Linked DNA regions of Drosophila melanogaster. The protein of the gene in region 2 purifies or fractionates together with the protein of the main gene of each other region. This does not show direct contact. Each region holds a gene or a part of one and is shown on either strand. Other genes may lie near its edges.

Region 1 (3,755 bases), on a different chromosome or scaffold from region 2:
ATGAAACTTTAATCAGTTTGGTGCCCAAGTGGGCAAACAATTGAAAGCGTAGCCCACTCGAAATTTTGATAACACACTGCCGCAAATTCCTGCGGTTGGCCCACAACTAATGAATAGTTTGGAATGTTCTTTGGGGCGGAGGCATCATGTGTTTTCGAACCTGGCCGCAGAGTGCTTAAGCCAAAATGTAAAATTTAAGCCAGCGGGTAATTAACGCATACCCACAGCTCATTTTATGGACCAGACTTTCGCCCATAAAGCCAAACAGAAAGAGTGCTTGGCGCCTTTTACAAACTTGCGTGGTTTTTAAGACTTGTTGGTAAAAGTTTGGGTTTTTTCCTTTTTTTTTGTTCTGTTTCGCCGGTGAAAGCAGGCTCTGCACGTGTCCTGGCCTAAAGCTTTTGCTTTGGCCCATTTTCATTCTAATTCAATTCACACTGCCAAGTTCGCAGAAGCACACACTTTTCCACAATTTATAATTAATTAAAGCAAGTTTGTCTTTTGGGCTGGAATCTGGAGCACATTTGCCATGGCTGTCGTTGAATATTCAATGAAAAATTACATTGCTCGGATAAATGTTTGCGTGCAGTCAAGTGTTTTCTAGGAAAAGCCAACTTCAATATACTCTGCAATATATTACTATATTACATACATAAGTGGTATGCATGGTTTAAAAGAATCTACAAAAAATCGTATAAAATATTCTTGCCTAAGTTATTTCAAACAAAAATTCAATTGATGGTAGTCAAATTTGGCTTACATTGCTTACCGTACATAGTTCATAAACTGAAAAGATGGTGTATCTGCTGGAACATCGACATTAGCAAAACAAAGTCGAGCAGAAAAGTCATTTTCATGTTGTTATGGCCAGAGTGCAGAAATTGTGAAAATTCATCTTTTCAATTTTCGCCCGAAACCCGCACATTTATGCAAACTTGTTACGCTCGTTTTTGTTGCTGTCAATTTCACAGATTAATGCGCACACATTTCAACGCCAAAGTCGGCAGAAACATTTATTATTGACAATGGCCAAAAGTTTGGCCATTCGCTTTGCTTTTTGGCCAACATCGTTCATTTGGCCAGACGGCGTAGCGACAAAAATTGATTTACAGTATAGATATTTTAATCATCCAAGCTCTCTTGCCAGTTAGTTCTTAGTTACATTCAGCTACACACTGCCATTTCAAAAACCAAATTTATGGGCCATGTCGAAGGACGAGCCCTCTGCTCCAAGCCAAATTTATGGCCTCCCATTCGGCGATGGGCGGTTCTTTTTAAGGGGGCGTGGCAGCCTGTTGAGCAAGTATTCGGTGTTATTTCTATGCGAATAAGAAGCTTTTCCGGTGGCCTTCGGCTTGTTTACTTTGGGAGTTGTATTTCGCGTGGTCGCAAAAAGGTTTCTCGGATACTTTTTCGGCAAAGACAAAGAAATTCAATTTAAGCTTCCTACCCCGGAACTAATAACTCTTCAAAAAGTTGAAAACAATTAATTGGTTGTGGGTATACATTAGGCAGTGCAGTATTGAAAAAAAATCAGTATATGTATCTAACAAGCTCAATACAGTTTCACGTTTAACAACATTCAACTGAAAATCAACAATGGTATATTATTTTATGCAAGCAATTAAAAGTATTTCTCTTATCATTTTGCGGCTCAACAACTTTTGCGGTATTGCACTTTTTGCTTTTTCAGAAGCTATCGACTAAACCACAACGTTTGGATTTGTGAGAAAAAAGGCTCGACCATTGCAGTTTTGCGGTTGGGACTTGATAATGAATATTTTTAAAAATATTATTTTTATATTCGGACTGCTAGTTAGCTATAAAATGAGTTCGGCTTCCTGGGAAAATCACAGTTCTGCAACTGGCTTCGTTGAGTGAAGTTAAAAGTGTAGTTGAAAGTGTACATCCATAGAGAAAACCATGACTAACACGGATCTGAAAGCCTTGGAACTTATGTTCCAGCGACCCCTGGAACCGGCATTCACCACTCGTGACTCCGGAAAAACTGTATTGGAACTGCCCGATTCCTTCTATACGGATCGCTATCGCAATGACACCGAGGAGGTGGGCAATCGATTCTCTAAGGACGTGGATCTGAAGATCCCAATTCAGGAGTTGAGCAACGTTCCCAGTCTGGAGTTCACCAAAAAGATTGGTCTCAAGAATCAATTTTCGCTGTTTAACAATCGCCATCGTGAGATCGCCAGCGAGCTGATCACCCTCTTCATGAGCGCACCAAATCTCAGACAATTCGTGTCGCTTTCCGTTTACACCAAGTAAGTACTTGTACTAAAATAAATATATATGTATTGTATAATGTATTAATTTTTTAGGGATCGTGTGAATCCTGTGTTGTTCCAATACGCCTATGCCGTCGCCGTTGCCCATCGCCCGGATACGCGTGAAGTGCCCATTACCAACATTTCCCAGATCTTTCCGAGCAACTTTGTAGAACCTTCCGCCTTCCGGGTTCGTTTAAGTTCTTCTTTATTTGACCAATCAAAGTCTTTAATGGTGTATTTATAAATTTGACCACAGGATGCCCGTCAGGAAGCTTCTGTTATTGGAGAGAGCGGCGCTCGTGTCCATGTGGACATTCCGCAAAACTACACGGCCTCGGATCGCGAGGATGAACAGCGCCTGGCGTACTTCCGTGAGGACATCGGTGTTAATAGCCATCATTGGCACTGGCACTTGGTCTACCCGACCACCGGACCCACGGAGGTGGTCAACAAGGATCGTCGTGGCGAGCTCTTCTACTACATGCACCACCAGATACTCGCGCGCTACAATGTGGAGCGCTTCTGCAACAATCTGAAGAAGGTTCAGCCGCTGAACAATCTGCGTGTGGAGGTTCCCGAGGGCTACTTCCCCAAGATCCTGTCCAGCACGAATAACCGCACCTATCCCGCCCGAGTGACCAACCAAAAGCTGAGGGACGTGGACCGCCATGATGGGCGTGTGGAGATCTCCGATGTGGAGCGCTGGCGTGATCGCGTGCTGGCTGCCATAGATCAAGGATACGTTGAAGATGTGAGTTGGGCCCGTTTGGAATATTGAGCATAGGTCATAGAAAGCACTAGAAATTTTTATTTGCTAATCCATAGTCTTCTGGCAATCGTATACCATTGGACGAAGTTCGTGGCATCGATATCCTGGGCAACATGATTGAGGCATCGCCAGTCCTATCCATCAACTATAATTTCTATGGCAATCTACACAACGAGGGGCACAACATAATCTCCTTTGCCCACGATCCCGATTACCGTCACTTGGAGGAATTCGGTGTGATGGGCGATGTGACCACGGCCATGAGGGATCCAATCTTCTACAGGTGGCACGGATTCATCGACACGGTGTTCAACAAATTCAAGACTCGCCTGAACCCGTACAATGCCGGTGAGCTTAACTTCGATGGTATTACCGTGGACTACATTGAGGCCAAGATTGGCAAGTCCAATACCAAGGCCAACACCCTGTTGACCTACTGGCAGAAGTCGAGTGCCGACTTGGCAGCTGGCCTGGACTTTGGACCAACGACCGATCGCAACATATTCGCCTCGTTCACCCATCTCCAGAATGCCCCCTTCACTTATACATTCAATGTGACCAATAATGGAGCCAGACGAACGGGTACTTGCCGTATCTTCATCTGCCCCAAGGTGGATGAGCGTAATCAGGCTTTGAATCTGGAGGAGCAGCGACTGTTGGCCATCGAAATGGACAAGTTCACAGTTGATTGTGAGTAATAA
Region 2 (3,755 bases):
AAACCAAACTACGATATTTACTTTTGATTTTGTTCCCTTTTTTTTGGGATGATCTATTAGACTATTATAGTTCCTAAATGATTTAAGATAAACAAAATAGATATTTTTAAGCTCTTTATCGAGCGTTTATTTGCTGAATTTCGCGATGTGCTCGTTAAATGTTTAGGTAATCTCAAGAAAAGGGCCAATATGGGTTCAACTTAGGGACTACAGTGTTTGTGTGGTTGGGTGGTTGTTTGTTGTTTGGTAGTTGCCATTCCAGGTGTCCAGAGTAAGCAGACTCATCCTTACTGGTAGTCCTTGCTGTCCTGGTTGGTGTTCCACGCCTGGTGGACACCGTGGTAGCTGCTCTGCTTCTGGGCGGGTGCGTTGCGGCCGAAAGGAGACTTGGGGTTCACCTGCAGAATGTAGTCACCCTCGAGATCGTGAGCGGTATCGATGCCCATGTAGGCACGCTTGCCGAATCCATCGTTCTGCTTGTACTGCTGCAGGGAGTTGGCTGGCACGGCGGGGAAGCTCCTCTCGTTTCCGGGACGCACGGACTCGGCGAAGTAGCGGGTGGCACGCATGGCGGCCTCCACCACGTTGCTGGCTCCGGGAACACCGGCGGCAGGTCCATTGGGATAGAAGTCAACATCACCGGAGCGGATGGGGGTGCCCATGCCGTAGACCGAGGTGTGGATGGCGTCAACGAATTCAGCATCACCGCGAGCCAGACCGGTCAGGGTGTTCTTGCTCTTGGCCACGATCTTGGAGGGATCCAGACCGGTGACACGGCGCAGCTTGTGTCCGGTGAGACGGGTGAATTCCTGGGCAGCGGCACCGGCAACATGGGCACCCACATTCTGGCCAATCAGGTGAATGGTATCGAAGGGCATGTCCAACTCGTTGACCATCTGGACGATCCACTTGCCGATCTTGGCGCCGGTCTTCTCAATGTCGAGCATGGCATAACGCTCATAGGTGTTCAGCTTGGAGCCCAAATCGATCACAATGATGTCGCCGCTTTGGGTCTTGGCGTTCTTAACCTCCTCGCTGTAGTCCTCCTCGCTGCTGGTCCTCTGGTTCTTCCTCTGTTCGTTGCTCTGATCCTGGTAGTCCTGGTTGCCGTTCTTGCCGTGCTGGCGCTGCTGCTGCAGATTGTAGCGCTGCATGTAAGCCTGAACCAGCTTCCTGGTCGCCTTCTTCACGGTCTCGCTGGTCTGGGGCAGTCCGGTCACAATGATGGTCACCTCATCCTCACCAAAGTTCTGCTTCTGCTTCAGGCGCTGGATCATCTCGTTCAGGGGAGCAACGGTCTTGTCACCATTGGGCTTGGGCACATAGACCTGGATGCCGCTGGGCACATAGTTGGGCTCAACGTTGTGGTGGATCTGCGACAGGTGGTCTACAAAGGATATATATATTCCATAGAATATTCGATGTTTTTTTTTTTTTTTTTTATCTGCATCTAGGATTACTCACAGACTTGCTGCAGCAGCTCGGCGCCACGCTCCAGGTTCATGTTCTCCAGACGCTCAATGGTGAAATCGTCGAGGGCGGGAATGGCCTCCAGCTGGGATCCGGAGAGCCACTGCGACGGCTTCAATGCCTGGTTGACGGAGTTGTCCATACGGCCATTGGGCTTGGCCAAGGCGGCGACCGCCAAGCAAGCCAGAAGGCTCAGCACTCTCATGGGGTTCATGGTTCGGATTTGGGATTTGGTCCTGCGGATGCGACTTCAACACTGAGTGAGTTGAACTGGCCTTCCAAATCCAACGATGGTGGTTTATATACCACAATTTGCGCTGAGCGATTTCCCATTTTCTGACTCGCTTTTCGCTGGCTCAGGCCTTAATCGGTCACTTGTGCTGAGTAAGGGTTTTCGGGTGCCTGGGAATCGGATGAGTGTATATGCTATCGATAGCGGAATAAATTGTATACATACAAAATAGACACGGGGCCTACCTATAGCTGACCCCACTGATGACTTAGCAGCACCTGCTGCCGCCTGATTATTTTAATTTGTAATCACTTTGTAGGCTCCGCTGATTGCAACATTGTAGTTGTGCACCGGATTTGATCAAATAAATGCATAAAATATAGATCTAACATGGGCATTAGTTGGTTATTATATACAACATTTTATTGATTTTTTTTGTTTATAAGTAGATTTATATTTGGCACTTTTCTTCTGCTTAATTAAAAGTCCATAATTTTGCATTTTCAATTCAAGGCCGATACAGTTCATTGATTCCTAGATGTTTGCCATTGATACGAAAAGTATGGAATGTTTGTAGTTTCCAAGGCAAGATAGTAAGATTATATTTGTTTTTGGACTTTAGAAATGAATTGATTCAGGGGAACGTTTTTCAAGGAGATTCTATTTTAATATCCGGGATTCGTTTTATAATATATGATCTTATCGATGCTATTTCATGTAACTCATTCTACTTATTAAAAATATATGTATATTTCGATAGATGTAAATATTTATATTTATAATATTATAATTTATAATATATTTATTTTGCATTTCCCTGAAAGTGCTATCTGCTTATAGAACAATTTAGACAATTCTTTTGGCAAACACTTAAATAGTTGCATAAATTTCACAAAATTGCCAAATATTTTTTTCAAACAAAAGCTTTATCTTGACCTGTGCATGAGTTCAAGTCGTGCCCCCACTGTCAAGCCCCTTAATGGCCAGACCACCTTTTGTTTATGTTATGAAAGTGCTGGTTAAAGAAGTTTCCCATTACCTGTTACCCGATGGATACTTAATAACCAAAAAAAAAAAAAAAAAAGGGGAACGAAATTTTAGAGCTCATCAGAAGTGTTGCAAAATCACTGACGCTGCGAATCAATGCATTTGTGCTGATCCAGAAATCGGTTGCTGAAATCAATTGCTTCCGGCGCGTGCATTATAGTGTGTATAGACTACCGATTCCAAGGGGTATAAAATGCATTGAGTCGCAGCAGTGGGTATGCAGTACAATTTGGTACGGTGTCTGAAAAAGTCGAACTTGGAAGCCACAATGAATCCTCTGCGCACCCTTTGCGTTATGGCCTGCCTTCTGGCGGTCGCCATGGGTAATCCCCAATCTGGTAACCGTTCCGGTCGCCGATCCAACTCCCTGGACAATGTGGAGCAGCCCAGCAACTGGGTCAATCCACGTGAAGTCGAGGAGCTGCCCAACCTGAAGGAGGTTACCCTTAAGAAGCTGCAGGAGATGAGCCTGGAGGAGGGCGCTACGCTGTTGGACAAGCTCTGTAAGTTCAAGGATCTCTAAAAGTTCTACCAATCATGTTATATTTACACGCACTATCCTATCCCGCAGACCATCTGTCCCAGTTCAACCATGTCTTCAAGCCCGATTACACCCCGGAACCCAGCCAGATCAGGGGCTACATTGTCGGCGAGCGCGGCCAGAAGATCGAGTTCAACCTGAACACTTTGGTGGAGAAGGTTAAGCGCCAGCAGAAGTTCGGCGACGATGAGGTCACCATCTTCATCCAGGGCCTGCCCGAGACCAACACCCAAGTGCAGAAGGCTACCAGGAAGCTGGTGCAGGCCTACCAGCAGCGTTACAACCTCCAGCCCTATGAGACCACCGACTACTCCAACGAGGAGCAGAGCCAGAGGAGTTCCAGCGAGGAGCAGCAAACGCAGCGCAGGAAGCAGAACGGTGAACAGGATGATACCAAGACCGGAGACCTGATTGTGATTCAGCTGGGCAATGCCATCGAGGACTTTGAGCAGTACGCCACCCTGA

The links. Proteins that work in one complex are often made in the same cells at the same time.
Region 1: the proteins of Yp1 (region 2) and PPO1 purify together in Drosophila melanogaster (affinity purification with mass spectrometry, with the first as the bait; one large-scale study listed by BioGRID). This does not show direct contact.

Annotation. Positions count from the first base shown.
Region 1 is NT_033778.4:17,888,069-17,891,823, reverse strand, and holds the start of PPO1 (prophenoloxidase 1), read left to right. Parts: upstream 1-1,850; 5' UTR 1,851-1,923; coding exon 1,924-2,279; intron 2,280-2,336; coding exon 2,337-2,472; intron 2,473-2,541; coding exon 2,542-3,036; intron 3,037-3,110; coding exon 3,111-3,744; intron 3,745-3,755.
Region 2 is NC_004354.4:10,051,846-10,055,600, reverse strand, and holds Yp1 (yolk protein 1), read right to left. Parts: upstream 1,791-3,755; 5' UTR 1,685-1,790; coding exon 1,465-1,684; intron 1,388-1,464; coding exon 288-1,387; 3' UTR 103-287; downstream 1-102. Other genes in the region: Yp2 (yolk protein 2), read left to right, coding at 3,018-3,252, 3,321-3,755. UniProt on the Drosophila melanogaster protein: Vitellogenin is the major yolk protein of eggs where it is used as a food source during embryogenesis. Along with Yp2 and Yp3, and their receptor yl/yolkless, required for maintenance of microtubule plus-end orientation towards the posterior pole of oocytes.